Linked DNA regions of Oryza sativa Japonica Group. The main gene of each other region encodes a partner of the protein of the gene in region 4 in a complex. Links are inferred from orthologs where the notes say so. Each region holds a gene or a part of one and is shown on either strand. Other genes may lie near its edges.

Region 1 (3,500 bases), on a different chromosome or scaffold from region 4:
CTCTCTACATCTCAAGTTAAGATCTGTTGAAGAGATCAGAATAACAAGTTTTGGCTGAAGGGCCAAGCCACCTGGGCTTGCTTATGAAACTGATGATGGATCTAGGATGGCTCCCTAGCTCTGTGCAGAGATACCTGCAGCATACTCTAAAGCTAGAGTAGAAGGGGAAAGCCCAACATGCTTTAGGACAGTCTAACAGAGCTAGTTTAAGCATAAATCAGTGTTGAACAATAACATAAATCTAGGTGACCGACACAACAAGCCACAAGAACGTGGGCTTGGAGACAGTTGTACAGTTTTGAAACGTTTGATAAAACAGTGAACTTGAGTTTGGAGCAAAGCAGGGCACCAAAATTCCAAGCGAACTATTATAGACATGGCCTAATTCTCTTGTTTTTGTTACTCCGTATTCCAGAGACACTTCTTTAGAACTCTGCATATCTGCCTCTTATAGTATGTACGTACCCACAACTTTGTGACAGGTGAATTTGAATAGGCAGTTTGAGTTTCAACAAGTGTATAGCATACACTCGTTAAGCACAGTTTCATATATCAGTAATATAAGTGCATATATGGACAACACATTTTGAATAAACTGAAATTTACACAAATGGAATTGGTAATAGAACTTTTGGTTTTGACAGCAAGGACTTGGAAATCAGTTAATGTGAATTACATATCAATCCATTATAAGGAATGAAACCACAGGGAGAAAGAAACCTTCCTTCAAGACATGCATGAAATGACTTCTACAGACTGTCTGCTTTTGTGGCTCTCTATTCCTCCTTGTTCTCCCTTAGAGATGGTGGTGGTCTAACCACGATGCTTTGCTTCCATTTCCTGTCAAGCTTCCTAGACAATCTCTTGTTGATTCCTTGTTCAATTTCCCGTTCTCTTTTGACAGTCAGCATACGAGCAATCTGATGCGAAGATGACAACCCAAGTCAATGCTAAATTTAGATAGTAGAAAGCTGCTATTGAAGCAAGATGAGCAGGGTGAGAAAAACAACAGGAAAAAAAAATCTGATATCCTCCTCCTAAAAGGCAAGAAGCATTGATCGAGGCAGATATAAGTATGCATTACTCTGCTGCTAACTATTTGTCCTGTGCTGTCCCTGAGCAGAGGTGGAGACCTGAACTCCAAAGCAAGTGATAATTCATAACAATTGACTTATCAGAAGCCCTCAAGAAGAACAAGGTATCACATAACTGACCGTAGAATTAGTTCTTGTGTACTATCTGCATTTTGACGTCCTCAGAACAAAGTTTTGTTCCATTTTAAATTTTGGTCCACTGAAGGTTAATTTAACACTACTTTCCCAAGAACAGTATAAAAGCTCTTCAGATACACATTGCATTGCAATATCATTCTTCATGTAGTACTCTATGCACTAAAATCCAATAAACAATACTACAAACCCAAAGTAGATACTATGTAAGAATACGTAAATGGATGTCAGCATGACTTTCTAATCAAATTAAGTAAAAAAAAATTGCTTCTGAGACTGAAATTGTCCAAGCATTAACCCAAATCATCTGTAAATTCAGTATGGGCCAATATGCAACTGATAAAAATCAGGCAAAATTCCACCAACAAATTGGTAAGTTATTCCACTATTCTGAACCTGAAATCAACTCAATATATCTGAACATAATCAACTCAGTACTAGAGGTTGAACAAAAGGGCCTTGTAAACAGAACACACTGAGCAGAACATGCGACCACTCCACACCCATTTGGAAGTAGAAGGTGGAATTTCCACTCGTAGGTTGAACGCATTTTGGCCAGGAGTAAATGCTAAACTTTCGCAATGGAATTAGCAGTTGTGGTATATCTGTACCCCATGGAGTAAGAGACATACCCTCTTGCGCATGCGGCCGAACTCGCTGGATTTGAACTCCTGGCGCGCGGAGCGCTTGAGGCGGAGCATGAAGAGCTCCCCCTTCAGGTCCACCACTTCCTCCTCGATCTTCTCCGTCGGCATGGCCCGAATCTCCTCCAGCTCCTGCTCCCTCTTCGCCATCCTGGCCACGGCCGCGTCGCCCCTCCCCGCTGGCAGCCGCGGCGGCGCCGCCGCCGCCGCCAGTCCCGGGAACGGCGCCAGCGACGCCCCTCCGGTCAGGAGGCCGAGGAAGGCCGTGCGGGGAGTGGAGACGGCGAGCCCACGGGGAGTCGAGGCGAGGGGGGACGCCGCGGCGAGGGACATCGTCGCCATCTTTTGCGCTGCGCTCGCGTCTGCGCTCTCTGCCGGTCGGGGTTCGTGGATAAGGGGGTTTATCTGGTCATGTTGATTAGCCACTCGGGGCACGAATCTTCAAGCATTATCGGACGGCTTTCACTTGCTTAATATGCATGTCACATCTCTAAATATCGAAATCTACGCGGATTCGCGTGCAAATAACCCCTCCACGTGGCGCTGCACGATTCCAGCTTTCGTCTCCCTCTCGCAGCCGTCAGATCACAGATCAACGGTGTGGAATAGCTGCGGTGGACCTCGTTGTAATATGTGAGGTTTTAGGGGTCTTTTTGAAAAAGTTATACCAAACCTGCAATGCCCTTCTCTCCGCCGGCGCCCCCGCCCCCGCTTCCTCCGCCTCATTCGTCGGAGGTCGACTTGTCCTCCTACGCCGATGTCGCCGCCTCTTCCTCCTCCCCGCGCTCCAGCTCCACCTCCGCCCCTCCGACGCCCTAGGCTGACCCTCCCACGCGCCAGCGCGCCGTTCTGTGCCGTCTTTCCCCTCAAGTTCGGCGGCGGTGGCATAGATCCACCTCGTCGCTGGATGGGGCGATGAGTTCGGTTGCCGTGCTTGGGGATGGGGAGGAGGAAATCACATGCATCGCTACGTCCGTCTTCGCTTCTGCCTTTTGATTCGCCGACCGCCTCTCTCCCCAAGTCGCGGCACCAAGGGGATCTCGGACGGAGGCCACTGGCCGTGCAACAAAGGGCGTGGCTGAGGACCGTGCTACCGCCGCCGGATGCCGTCATGCAGGAGCGGGAGCTCCCTCCCCTGCTTCCCTACGGGTTCACAGTTTCACACCACAGCTGATTAATTCCACCTGTAATTAAGAAAAAAGAAGGAATTTCTTTTGTTGTTTTCGTTGATTTTTGCGTGTTACACGATGCTACTGAATAATGCTCAGATTGGCACCAAGGAATGAATGAGTTGCCAAAAATTAACTGTCACATTGTAACATGTTTTGTCTTTGTCTGAAATCTGAAGAGTTGGCCTTTCTTGACTTACAGTACGAGGGTGGTGCAGCTGAGGGTAGCAGAAGACCAAGCATCTGGAACACCTTCACACATCAGCACCAAGGCATGTTAACTACATCTCTGTTCACCTTTGCCTGCTTAAGCTGTGCTCTGTACAGAATTATGTTAATCAAGTTCAATTAAGTGTATTTGTATATCTACAAGTATAAAATTTGTCCTATTTAGCAACCAGAAACACTTCAACGATGTAAAGCAGAAATTAACAAGCTGAATACACAATGACAGAAAG
Region 2 (3,081 bases), on a different chromosome or scaffold from region 4:
ATAAATTTTACAACCACATCAACAGGAAGGGCATCAGAAAAAAAATCGAAAATGGCACTCTTCAGATTGTTCACATCGTGCCTGACAAAGTGGCAAACAACAAACAAACCCGAATTTGCTCCAGTTATTTCCTTGTCCAGGTTGATCCTTTGTGCTTTAATCAACATCAGGTCAGACGAAAGAGTTGTGAGAGGCCCTAACAAAACACATCATGGAAGTGTATATACAGGCAAATACCTCACAAATATAGAGTGCAGCACAGCAAGGCTTCTTGAAATTTGCTATGATTTTGAGTTTTTGACAAACACAGAAGGCATCAAGGTGCATATGATATTTCCACTATGGGAACACACATTAGATTTAGTGGTACTTCTGTAGGACAGCTAAAGCCTAAAGGAGAAAAAGGAGGGACATGTTAGAAGAAAATTTGTTCAGTACTGGGCTTTGTGTGTTTTTAACGGTGACCGGTTTATCCATTATCTAAAAAATACAAGATGAAATTTCATCGGGAAAGAAATAATCACATTTTGCAAACATTGTGTTTCATATTTTGAACAGCAAAATTCGCTGGGCATCAGCTTAGGAAATACAGAGACGGATGAACAGAACATAGAGGTGTACAGAAGAACAGCGACCGACATCACTGCTGGTTAGACGTTCTTGAGCTTCTTCATCTTGGATGGTGGCCATCTACCTTTCTTCCTCAGCCGCCTCTTCTGGACAAGCCTCCTGCGCCGCTGCCTCAGCTTCTTGGCCAGCTTCATCTTCGCCCTCTGCTCCATGATCATCTTCTGCTTAGTTTCGAGCGGCATTGTCTCAATCGAAACCGTGGGTTTTGGCTCCTCTGGTTGATCTGTGCCAGCTTCTTCTGCGCCAGCCTCTGCCGAGGCATGGACAGAAACTAGCCTCTTCTTGGTGAAAGAAGCATTCAGAGGGCTCTGCGAGGAGAGATTCTTGCACTGGAGCCTTGGGGCTGTAGCATCAGAAAGGACAAATGGCAAGCCTCAATGTGCATCATTTTAGATATAGAATTCAGAGTACATGCATGCTACTTTCAAAATTTTGATAGAATCTCCGTCATATAAGAAACTTGAAAGCTAATAAGTCTAGCTCATGTGTGCCACTTCATGGATAGTATATAGTACAATAACTAGTAACAATCCTAGTGTTCTCAATTACATATTATGATGAATCTTAGCAGAGCACAGATATGTAAAATCTACTCATCTATTAACAATCAGGCCCCAAATGTAGGGTGTACTACGAATGTCACCCTTTGCCAGTGACCGGTGCTTACATAGCATCTGATATTATCATTTAAGCACGAAAGAACCAAAGCTTCGAGAATCTGCAGAGTTCACTGAGATGAATTATACCTAGCTTTGTACAGAGATGATAAATGCACGGAATCTCCCACGAATTACTGCATCTGCACACGACGTGTTTGAAGAAATTCCCTAACGAGCCAACCGCATCCCAGAGAATCAGAAACGCCACGAATCACCAACGTCAAATATCTAGACCAATCCTCCCACCGAATTACAAATCACACCTCACAACAATGGATAGCCTCGTACCCACTCAGCATAATCCAATCCAAGAACCAACACCCCACAACCCGAGTAACTTATGCGCAAAAGTCCCGGTACGGAGAAGGCGTTCACGGAGGTTACCGGGGATGGTGGAGGCGACATTGGCGGAGGCGGGGAGAGCTCTGGCGCGAGGCGGGGAGGCGGAGGAGGAGGCGAGGAAGGAGACGGTCGGGGAGAGGAGCAGCGCCATGGCCACGGGCAGTGTGGGATTCGGCTTCTTGGCCCGTCGTCAGCCTATCCACCCATCAGCCCGGAGGGAGGAGATAAGCCTGTGCTGCTGTGAGCGCTCCGCCGTCCGATGGAGAATCAACGGCCAGATTTAATCTCCGTCAAGTAAGGCTGCTTGGCAGTTGGCCCACATGTCATAGGTGGAGAGAAATTTTGATTTTGATTTTCTTTTTCTCCTCTCGCCGCCTCCGCCGCCGCCGCGGGTGGCGGCGACAATCCGCATCGGCGGCGTCCCCTCCGCCCGGCCGCGCTCGCCGTCGCGTCCTACGCCGCCGCCGGCCGCCACATCCTGCGTTCGACGTGGATAGCAAGAGGTGGGGGAGCTCGCCGACGACAAGAACCTCCCGTTCGACGGCCAAGCGGGTGCCCATCGGTGATGAGAAGAGCAGCTAGCGACAACCTCTTCGTCTCCCACTCCAAGCCGAAGCACGCGCCGGCGCCGCCGTGTACCGCATCAAGAATGTCTCCTCCTCGTCGTCGCCGTCGCCGTCGCCGTCGCCGGCGTAGAGCAGTTTCAGCATCGAGGACGAGGAGGTGTCTGTACAGGAGCTGCTGCCAATGGTTGATCCGGGTCGTCAGCTCTCGTGCGCCATTGGGGATGGAAGCTTCTGCTCCTTCAGCTCGCGGACACCCATCAAGATTATGGAGCGTGCAGAGATCCTCCAGCCGAGCGTAGCTTCGACATGGACATCAATGCTGCCGGAGAGGAGGATGAGGATGATGCACGAGCCATCGTTGTATCAGTGTCAGAGAAGATTTACAGAATCTACGACAAGTCTCGCAGGCTGGCTCGCAGGGTTCAAATTTCCGGTTCGACCAAAGTTTTTTTTATTCTTTTGTGTGAATTTAGTAATATTTATTCAAATTTGACCAAATTTTGTTCGAAAATTCAAATAATTCTGGACCAAATTTCGGTATATCAGCACCCCAATACAAATACTGAAAACGAAAAATTGAACCATGGGCTCGCCAAGCGCCACTGATTGCTACATTGTTTATCTAAGAAAGCTTTGAGTGGGGTCGGAGACGCCTTGCGACAACATTGGCAAACTCCTCTTTGTGGGAACGACGACGACAGTTGGAGATGGTACAAAAGCGAAATTCTGGGACTTTGCTTGGTTGCAAGGGAGAAGGCTTAAGGAAGTTGGCCCCTCTGGTCTAAGCGACTTTCTGGAAGAAAAACAGAACTCTACAGTAGGCCACCAAATCTGGCCAATGGCTACTCGACATCAACCTATCGGCGATTGCAACTAGGATGACC
Region 3 (4,154 bases), on a different chromosome or scaffold from region 4:
TCCACCACGAAAGGAGCTCCTCTGACTTAAAGTTAGAAGGATATGAGTCCTTGACAGGTGCGGCCCACCTTTATAGGCCCACATGTTAGAGATGCATGTCCCTTTGACTTAAGTTAGAGGAGCCTTGTCGGTCCACCACACACCAACACTGGTAGGACAGACAACAATCCTCCACACCGCCTGCGAGAGGGTCCTCTTCCTGTCTTCCTGGCCATCAAGGAGGAGAGAATCAACTCCACATCTTCTCGGGTGACCTCTTTGATAGCTCCTTCGGCGAGGGATGGGTGGGCGGAAGTCAAGGAGGCTGTTCTTGAAGACGGAAAAGAGAAGTAGGGGCCGGCTCGACCTCGACCCGGTGTTGCGATGTCGTCGCGAGCATGCCGGTCTGTCTCCTCCGAGAGCTCCACTGTCTCCACTTCAAAAGCCATCAACGAGGAGGAGCCCAAGAGCGATGTGGAGGAGTATGAGGAAGAGGAGGAGGTGGACCAGTGGGTAGAAGTGTGCTATCTGGAATGGAGGTTGATGCGAAGGGGATCTGGAAGTGGGAGCCAGACTTTTGCTACTGTCCCCATCTTGGATGCTCGCGAGAATGTGTGGGAGTTGGTGGTGTGCGACACGACATTGTCCCTCTAGTTCACTTGCTTCTTCCCCAACACCTCCATCAACAACGTCACCCTCCGCATGCGTACTCATCTTCATCACTACCGCTTGAGCTCAAGTTTTGCCGCCACCACCGCAGCACCCCCTTCCCATCCCCGCGGCTCCTCACACTCCTGACACGACTGGGCTTTCCTGCAGATAGCTCATGAGCTCGAACTCGCCGGCTCCCTCACCTACCTCCTCTTCTCCCCCGTCGTGGACCACTGGAGCCACCTCATCACTGACCTCCCACCACCATTACCACCTCCCGTGGATGGGCTCGCTGGCCGCCGCCCCTCTCCCCACTGGAGGAGATGGGAAAGAGAGGGGGGAGGTGGAGAGATGGGGAAGAGAGGGGACAGGTTGGGAGGAAGTCCACTTTAAATTTTAATTTTCTGATTGGTATGCCACGTTAGTGAAACCAGTCATCCATAATACCATGAGACTGACTTGGAAGGTTTTTCCAAAATGGGGGGGAGGGGGTGAAGATTGCTGGTATTGCGGTTTAGAGATACCATTAAACTCGACGTAAAATAAGGGATAATAAGTGGACTTATCACTGTGAGTAATACTAGTAGTAATGAGAGTTGGGCTTGGGCCGCCCTTTTCTACAGTACTACGATATATGGGCCCCTGCTCACACAGTACATAGAGAGACGATTATGATAGGATAGGAGAAACAAGTTGTACGCCACGCCGCAGCCGCACAAGACTTGATCCTCTTCTTCTTCTTCTTCTTCCTCCAGGCTCCAGTGGCGATGGCGACCATGCTCTGCTCCTTCACGCCCGCCACCAGGGCTCCGCTCCTTCGCACTTCCTCCTCCTCTTCCTCTCTCGGCTTCGCCACCTCGCAACTCGCCGGCCTCAGCCTCGGCCTCTCCGCCGCAGCCACCACCGCGCCCTCCGCCGCCGGTCCCAAGCTCCACCCCATCCTCGCGCGTACGTCATCTGCCTCCTCCTTCTTCTCTCTGTTTCGAGCCATCCACCCGCAGATTGACATTACAGTTTTATATTACACCACCAATGTCATTTCTGCTACTATTAAAGTTGTTACTTTATCCTTCGTTTTTTTTTTGCGCTATCCAATACTCCACTGTATATATACTACTACTAGAACCAGATGACCTATTTGTTAGTAATTGATTGCTTTAATCTCTCGAAAATAGACTAGCTGTCAATCTATTACCATAAACTCAGATCTTTCTTTGTATTTTTAAGAGAATGGAAGCTTTATTGAATTTGGTCGTTCTTTGCACCATGTCAGTGCACAACCAATAGATACCACACAACAAGAAAAACAGAACTAACTCAACGATTAAGGACCTAATATCGGAAGACTAGGTTGCCGCTCATGTGCCTGGGTAAAAAAAAAAAACCTTGACCACATGCTCCAAATGAAGACAAGCCGAACAGACAAAACCCCTGTAATCTGGCTTCTTGAGAATAATCCATGATCGGAGCCAATGTGTGATCAAGAAAATAACCTGCAAAGAAGAAGAAACAATTTTCCTGTCAAAAATCACATCATTCCTTTATAGCCAAATAGCCCAACAAGTCAACTCCTAGTAGAAAAGGAGGCCTAGACTCTTTGTTTTGTCGCAAACTCCATTGTCCAGACATATGTGACACACTCCTAGGTGAAGAAATGTTCGATGCAATCTGGATTAAAGACCAAACTGATCGGGCTAGCCGACATTCAAAAAATAAATGCTTTATCGTTTCTTCCTTGTGGTAAAAACAATAGGTCTTATTCCCTTTTCAATTCCGTTTAGCCAGGTTATCTTTTGTTAACACCACCCCTCGACATAAATACGATAGAAACATTTTCACTTTGAGAGGGATTTTTAACTTCTAGATATGTTTGTTAAAATTGGGAACTCTTGTATGTGCAAGATAATGAGTTTTAACCAAGAATCTTCCATCAGGTGTTAGATTCAATTTAAAGTCATCTTTCTCGTGTGACAACACTATATTAGCAATGCGTGGAAAGAGATGATTCCACGCCACTAACTTAAGGCCAATAATATCCTTGCGCCAAGTGAAATTTAACAGGGTTGTTTAGAATATATTTGAAATGGTTGCTTGTTTATGTCTGACAACCATCTCTTTGTTTCTCTAAGACATAAGCAGAGCTTCTTCTTCTTACTAGTGTATATAAGAAAGAAGGGGGAAAAGAAAAAATATAACTATTCTGGCCATTTCAAGTTATAGTTTTAGTTTTATTCTAAGTCAACCATTCATAACTTTAACTATCAATTTCTTATTTAAAAAGATAATTGTGACTTATCAATTTCTAGAAATTTGTAAAGTTTAACAACATGTTAATTGTACTATATATTATGAAGGTACTTTTCATGATGCATATATAAACACATAAATATTATGATATTAAATGTTTGGCTTATGATAAAGTTAAGGACAAGTAATTTAAAAGGGTGAGATTATACTTTATCTTTTGTTTGCATGATGCCACAAATTATAGAAACTAGTAGTAGTAGGAACAAGATGGCGTGTATGGTGATGTTGTTGTATGATGTGGGGGTGGGTGACTCAGGCCGGATATGCCCCTTCACGGACAAGAAGACCAACAGGGCGAACAAGGTGTCCTTCTCAAACCACAAGACGAAGAAGCAGCAGTTTGTGAACCTGCAGTACAAGAAGCTGTGGTGGGAGGAAGGCAAGCGCTTCGTCAAGCTGCGTCTCTCCACCAAAGCCCTCAAGACCATCGAGAAGCATGGCCTCGACGCCGTCGCCAAAAAGGCCGGCATCGACCTCAACAAGAAATAAATCAAATCATCATCATCATGATGCATACATACATGTATTCTCTCATCAATTGCCGCTGTGCTGAATAGACCAGAGCTGTATGTAGTCCATTATTAAATCCATTCATCTCGATGATGCAATTTATTGTAGAGTACTACAGTATGCATTCATCGGTGGTGGTGGCCGGCTTCGTTTCCTTAAATTTCCTTTTATCCCGTGTTGCTGCTGCAAGTCCGGCTCGAATTGTTTGCTACTAGTGTTTCATTTCGGTCGAGTTCCTAATTAATACTGTATGTTGGTTACGAATTATAAGATGGATGGATGTAACTTGAGCAGCATCAGGTCGTGCAGTTGGCATCTTGCGCTTTTCACTTTAGAGTGTCTTCCAGTCTAAGCTGAAATTGATTAATTATTTTATTTCCTTTTTGGCTATTGATATTTAATAAGAGCCTAAATGAAAGAATTAACTTGTACAAAATTGAAAAGCTGTTTGTTTTGTACAAAAGGAACTCCTACGCCAATATTGATTGTTCTACTGCTATGGCCTGTCTGGTTTGAGATAGCTGAAATTGATGGATTGTTTTATTCCCCTTTTTAGCTATTGATATTTAATAAGAGCCTAAATGAATAATGAACCCCTACAAAATTAGAAGGTTGTTTTTTTTCTCTCTAAAAATGTAGAGACGAGAAAAAGGTGTTGAGTTGTAGACGTGGAGCAACCCGGCAGCTCCACACACGCGCAACCTCTG
Region 4 (6,605 bases):
TAAAGCTTTTGGGTCAAACAACCACAAAGCACTATGAATCGGAGCAAAGTAACTTGGCCCATTGGCCACAAAGCTGTGGATGGACTAATCGACAGCGACGTGTGCAAACTTTACGACACGGATGATAAAAGAGCTCCGAAGGAGATCAGACCAACACGCCGAAAAGCAACCGACAACGACGATAATGTCTAAGATTTATACCATCATGCTAACTTATTTCTTCCACTGGTGTTTTCGTGTCCTAACAGTAGCCTGAAGGATGAATCAACCGTTTTTCCTGTTACTTCCGGAGACTCTGAGATGATCTGGTATATTTTTAGTTTAAGAATCCCACCCAGTAAATTCAGTTGCACAACAGCAGCCAGTGGCACAATAGAATTCTGCTGCATATTTGCACAGAACTTAATACGGTGAGTGACATTTAGTGTAGTGGTAAGTTTTCTTTCTAATGATTCCTTCCAAGGAGCATAATGCAGACCTAACATGTAGGGACGGAAACAGTTATAGTCAATCGATCCAATATTCCAAACTAGAACCAATCAATGGCCAGTCTCAAGAAAAAAAAAAGAGAGTGAAATTATGTGCTCAGGTCCATCCCCATAATTTGTATGCCTTTTATGCATAGTGGGCTAGTATAATATGGATAGCTTTTTGCCCACCAAAAAGTTTAAAAGATAGTGCCAAAGAAGCTGGCTCAACCTAAGCAAGACTCTTCCCTTTTCGGTTCATAGATACAGCACTATTATGTCAGTCACAATCTCACAAATGATTTCTTTAGATATTGTTGAAAGCAGAGTAAGACAGAGCAAACTATAAGTAAATTCTACCGATAGCACCAGCTAAAAATGACATAAAATACTAGACATAGCAAAAGACCAGATCTTGCACCTTTCTAAAGTACAGACGCAGCTTTGCCCATAAGCCCATAATCCACTTGTAGTGCAATGTCAGAACAATTAGAAAGGTGATGATCTGGTCCAAAGTTGTCTGGGTGGACTTAAGGATGGCCCAACAACTCTTCTTGCATGACCCAGGTAAGAAAGAAAAATGATGGAATCATTATGGTTAGGCATAAGCAGAGGGTTGGTTCACTAAACCCTCAGGTGATCTACAAGTAAACCTGAGCAAAATGGTCTGTTGTTTACGACTGATCTGGGCTTAGAGTTTCAAGATCAGCATCTAACCCGGGCTATGCTGCTCCAGTGCTCCATGTCCAAGTTGAGCTAGGCTACTTTCCACATTGTAAAATGCAGCAAGTCCTCTGAAAAGACTTGTTAGTTGTTACTTGTTAGAGCTCACCCAGCGAAAAAGTTAGTCATAACAAGGAACAATTCAACAATTTAAGGAGACAAGATTTTGTAATCATACCCCTACTCAAGATGTTACTCTCTCCATTTTATATTATAAGTCGTTTTGACTTTTTTCGGAGTCAAACTTCTGTACGTTTGACTAAGTATATAGAAAAAAAATGGTAACATTTATAATACCAAACTAGTTTTATTAAATGTAACTTTGAATATATTTTTGATAACATGTTTGTTTTGTGTTAAAAATGTTATTATTTTTTCTATCATTTTGGTCAAAATTAAATAAGTTTGACTAGGAAAAAAAAGTCAAAATGATTTATAATATGAAACGGAGGGAGTAGAAAATTAGTGGTAACCAGCAGGTCAACACTGGTTTTTTGAAGCAAGATTGGGAAGCACTTTCTGTATAAAATTGGAAGAAAAATATGCAGTGGTTGACACGACATTGTATTTGAAAATATATGTGCAGTTTGAAGATCTAATATACTGCATCAGTGAAAAAAAAACATTATAAACTTACAACAAAAGTAAGCCAAAAAGCTTCTGCATCAGGGAAGCAATTACCAGACCAACAAACGAAAAACACGCGATCTACACCTCCTTCCCTAGGAATTGCTATCAGCCTCAGTCTCTGCAGCCTCATCTGAAAGTCATACAAAAAGAAGTTCCTGAGAAATGCTCAAAATAAGAGAAAGTTATAATATGCAGCACCAAAATGTAACAGAGAACTGAATGTCAATTAATAATAACTTAGTCCTGTAGCTATGCATAGTATTTACGAAAAGGAAGTGCTTGAGTGATGGAGAAAACATGTGTTTAACTAGGTTTTACCTCTAAAGCAACTTAAACCAGCATATTCACAGCTAACTACTTTATTAAGATGGTTCTAAGGTCTAACAGAACATCTTTGAAGTGAATGATGACAGTGCCAATGGCTGACAATGTTTCAAGTGATAGGTGATAGGGGTAGCTGTGTGGCACAGCAGATTGTGACACTATTATAAGGAGTGTACCAGTATCCCCAGAGTTCTGGTTCAGTGGTGTTCATGGATTCCATGCAGTCTCATTTCTTCTTATTTTTTAGTTTAGTGCTTAGGACTTAATCCACCTTCAGCCGAAAATTTAACCACCATTAGGTGAAGTCATTTTCTATTCGCAAATTGTTGAGTTGCTCATGAGCTCTGAATAAAAACCCTAAGGAGGTGCAAAATAACGAGTAAAATACAGACTCAGTGGGTCTACTGAGAGCTAGCATAGGGGTAGGTGGATCTCTAAGCATGCTTCTAAAATAGACCATTGAATTATGTCATGGACTTATTGGATCTTTCAGGAGGAAAAAAAACCATACGATGTACATTAGCATGGTAAGCATTTTTCCTTTTGCATGCTGGTAAGGATAAGAGAACTATTTCGAAAAAAAAATTAGCTCCATAAGTCTACAAGGCCACAAAGAATTTCTCCATAATAATTAAGATGGTATTCATAAGACAAAACTGGCTACATTTTCTGTTTCTTTGCCACGTTATCTTGTTTTTACCCTTAAAACGCATGTCAGGATCTTTATCAGCATACGTATAGCATCGATCATGATATTTACAACAGAGCATAGCTAAGAGTTAAAAGATAAAAAAAAAAACTACTGTACATGCCATTAAAGCAGAGCATTTTCTCTCCTAACTATCAACTAAAACATGTAAAATAAAGGATCACTGGATAGCATTAGTTACTCAAAGTCATTTCGCACATGCCCACCATAGAAACAATAAAAAGACACCTGGAAATTGTTCATGCATAGCTATGTACCTTGAGCAGCCTCCTCTGCGCTCCCTTCTCCTTCTTGCAACTCCTCTGCTTCCTCCTCACCATCATCCTCGCCATTGGTATCATCCTCATATTCATCAAAAACGGTGGCACCATACCTGGAGTTGAGATAGTTAATGGCGGCCGGGGTGAAGAAGAGCTTGCGGGCATCGAGGATGTCGTATAGGTTGAGAGTCCTGGGGGTTAGCATCTTGAGGGAGCCAATGTTCCTTCCGCTGAGCCGCACATTGTCTGCAAAATCCGTGGCGAAGAACATGGCCTTCTCCTTGGGGTCGAGCCCCCACCGCTGAAGCGCGGCCACGAAGTCCCTGGTCTTGGGACCCGCGGCGAACTCCTCGTCGAACTCCTCCACGACGAATGCATCGTCGGCCACGGCGGCACTGGCGAGCGCGGTGGAGATGGCGAGGCGCTTCTCCTTGCGGTTGATCTTGATGGACCAGTCGCGGGGCTTGGGCCCGAATATGACGCCGCCGCCGGGGCGGAGCGGCGTGCGCATCGACCCGCGCCGCGCCTTCCCCGTCTTCTTCTGCTGGTAGGGCTTCCTGCCGCCTCCCCTGACCTCGCCGCGGGTGAGCGTGGAGGCCGTGCCGCGGCGCTTGTTCTGGCGGTCGGTGATGATGGCGCGGTGCACGACGGCGCGCGCGGTGGAGGGCGGCGCCGACTTGAGGTCGAGGGCGACCTCCCCGACCTTCTCCCCGGTGAAGGAGAGAACCGGGAGGGTGGCCGCCTCGGCGCGAAGGGCGCGGAGGACGGAGATAGCCGCCTTCTGCTTGCCGGCGGCGACGGCGACGCGCGGGGAGGAGGAGGCGGCGGCGGCGGCGGATGGGAGGAAGGAGACCGAGGTGGGGGAGAGGAAGGGCGAGGAGGAAGAGGAGAGCGAGAGGAGGAGAGTCGAGGCCACGGAGGAGGCGGCCATTGCGGCGGCTTCGCTCGCTGCGGTGCGCTGCGTGGGCTGGACGACGGGGAGGCTTTGCCGCTGCAGCTGCGGAGCGGCCGCTTCTCTATCTCCTTATCCACCCCCACCCGACCGGACCGGCCACACTCTCGCGAGTGTCAGCTTAGTCGGTCGCGCCAGACCAGTAAGATACACACACTACTATGTGTTTGGATTTTAGAAGAAGCATCTCTTCATTAAAAAAACTTAGATATTGTTAAAGAAAAACCCTCGAGGCAGTATTAGTCTATTAGATGGTGTTTTTTTTCTAATAAAGATGAAATAAAATAGGAAAGCAAAATGAAAACGGCCCATTAGCTTATGTTTAATTAAGTTTTGATTATTTTAAACTTGAAATTGATTTATTTGATATTTTAAAATATTTTTATGTAAAAAATTCATATGAAACATACCATTTAGCAGTTTAAAAAATGTGTTAGGAAGAATTTGCATCTTAGTAAAGAAGGAGGCTTAGTTTCACCAAAATGAGTTTGAAATAATCAAATTAAATTTCATTTCCTTTTTGTCGGGTCAGATTGCTCATTAGCACTTGTGTATCAGAACAGTTGCCTGAGAACCACATTGACAGATGGGGCGCACCATAGACACAGTTATGCTAAAAATGGACAGGAACTCCAAATTTTCTACTTCTACTTTTGTTCTGAACACTTGCGAAGTTTTCACGATTGCGATCCTCTTCTCGGTTAGCTCTAACAAACAAGCTAAAGAAACTCAAGTAATCTGAACAGATGACTAGCGCTTGCGATTCTCATTGCCAACTTATTTTCTAGTGTTTCAATCTTCCATAACAGTATACTTTACACGAGCAACAGAGATAGCCTACCCAATATATACCATCATTATTGGTTCCTACAAGAATCACAGTGGTAATTGTACTACATCTTTAATCTCCTTTTTTTGGAGAGCCTACAGTCGATCAGAGTCTCACAGATAACTTGATATCTCCTAACAGGGGCGCTTGGCAACTCTGTCCATCGCTTTATGGAAACAATTGTGGTATAAGTAGGGAACTAACTCTTGTACAACCTAGATCATCTTAATGGCTTCGATGGTAACTTCTTAACAAGGCTGGTGTTGCCGGTTACCAATAATCGAGCGCCCTTCACCAGTTCCTCCTTAATCATAAAAAGGAGAGCAGAAGCAAAAACACTTTGTACGATTTTTGTGCTCATTCCTTTATAAAGCCCTGACAAACCTTCATAACGTATCATCTTTGTGATCGCATCAAATGTGCCTGCAAGCAATAAAATTTGCATAGCGTATTTGGTAACAAAGTCAGAGAACAGCAAATATTATTACCAGAAGAGAAGTAAAGACTATCAGAAACAGGATATGGAGCAACATCACTCATTAAATAATAATTCACTCTAAATAATAAAATGAAGTTTAAAGAATAAAGGCCAGCGATGTACCTTTGTAGCGGTGCCTCTTGTCATCATCAATTATTTGCTTCACCTGAAGTCTTGCCTGTAGAAAAAAAAAACATGGTTTAACTTGACATGTCTGCTCAATTGTGCACAGAAACGGCTGCTGCTGTAACTGGTGTTCAAATAATCACCTTCACAACTAGAAGAGGATATGTAACAACAGTCGCACCCAGTTTGGCAACAGCACCAAGAAGGAAAATCTGAACAAGGATTTTACAGCGTGAGATGAAGACGGTCTATAACATAGCTAACTAACAAAGAAATAGTAGTATTAGGAGCATATAAGAAATACTAGTGTTTTCAGCAAATCATCATGGTAAATGAAGTTAAGACATGCAACATATAATTACTGGACATGAAACATCGTTACTAGAAGAACAAACTTTCAAGTCAGCGTTACGGGTAGATTCAGGCCCCAATGCAGCAAGTTAGCATGATGCAAATTGGTTATATCCTAATAAATCTGTACAATGATCCCAGTCACCAGAAAAGCCAAAAGCCAAAAGCTTACTTCAAGAGCAGTCAGTCCATCAGCTCCCTTCAAATTAGAGGCACGTCTCTTTTTCAACTTCTTCAAAAGAGTCTCGTACAACATGAATTGGATTGCAGGGTTGCTAACCTGATGACAGATGAAACATGGAAACAATAACTTGTAAAAAAGAAATAACTTAGCAAAAGAAAATGCGACATAAGACTTACCATAATAAGAGCTGGAACTACACCTTTCCAGAAGCCCAAAAATCCAGCTTCTTTGTAAAGGTCCTGAATCTGCAGCCAAACGGAGTCAATCAACCATGCCCCAAACAAAGTCTGAATCATTAGCACTTGCATATTGACTATATGAAGTACTTAGGAGGACAAGTTTTACTTGGTTTTCAGAGATGAAGGATGGGTTTTATCCGCAGTTTAGGGACAAAAAAAAAAAGCTGAGCTAACAGTTTAGGAACTGGGATGAGGCCTAGGAAAAACTAAATGAGGCCTTTTTTCCATATAAGAACAGCTGTTAGTCTTGGATCCAGTAATCAGCAGCATGTAATTGCAAGAATAGAGTATCTCATCCTGAAAGAGAAATGATCAAAGTTACATACAACATGG

Evidence for each region. The genes of interacting proteins can lie anywhere in the genome.
Region 1: large ribosomal subunit protein uL4c (region 4) and large ribosomal subunit protein uL29c share a complex: the UniProt entries of both Arabidopsis thaliana proteins name them as parts of the 50S ribosomal subunit. The link is inferred for Oryza sativa Japonica Group from reciprocal best matches to the Arabidopsis thaliana genes RPL4 and AT5G65220.
Region 2: large ribosomal subunit protein uL4c (region 4) and large ribosomal subunit protein cL37 share a complex: the UniProt entries of both Arabidopsis thaliana proteins name them as parts of the 50S ribosomal subunit. The link is inferred for Oryza sativa Japonica Group from reciprocal best matches to the Arabidopsis thaliana genes RPL4 and PSRP5.
Region 3: large ribosomal subunit protein uL4c (region 4) and large ribosomal subunit protein bL28c share a complex: the UniProt entries of both Arabidopsis thaliana proteins name them as parts of the 50S ribosomal subunit. The link is inferred for Oryza sativa Japonica Group from reciprocal best matches to the Arabidopsis thaliana genes RPL4 and PRPL28.

The regions. Positions count from the first base shown.
Region 1 is NC_089036.1:32,213,802-32,217,301, reverse strand, and holds large ribosomal subunit protein uL29c, read right to left. Parts: upstream 2,247-3,500; 5' UTR 2,216-2,246; coding exon 1,862-2,215; intron 921-1,861; coding exon 777-920; 3' UTR 501-776; downstream 1-500.
Region 2 is NC_089035.1:9,871,216-9,874,296, reverse strand, and holds large ribosomal subunit protein cL37, read right to left. Parts: upstream 1,829-3,081; 5' UTR 1,783-1,828; coding exon 1,674-1,782; intron 974-1,673; coding exon 651-973; 3' UTR 501-650; downstream 1-500.
Region 3 is NC_089039.1:104,682-108,835, reverse strand, and holds large ribosomal subunit protein bL28c, read left to right. Parts: upstream 1-1,354; 5' UTR 1,355-1,397; coding exon 1,398-1,578; intron 1,579-3,193; coding exon 3,194-3,426; 3' UTR 3,427-3,743; downstream 3,744-4,154.
Region 4 is NC_089037.1:8,801,304-8,807,908, reverse strand, and holds large ribosomal subunit protein uL4c, read right to left. Parts: upstream 4,113-6,605; 5' UTR 4,045-4,112; coding exon 3,111-4,044; intron 1,951-3,110; coding exon 1,913-1,950; 3' UTR 1,696-1,912; downstream 1-1,695. Other genes in the region: peroxisomal nicotinamide adenine dinucleotide carrier, read right to left, coding at 5,115-5,317, 5,496-5,550, 5,642-5,710, 6,022-6,129, 6,210-6,278, 6,599-6,605. UniProt on the Arabidopsis thaliana protein: This protein binds directly and specifically to 23S rRNA. May play a role in plastid transcriptional regulation.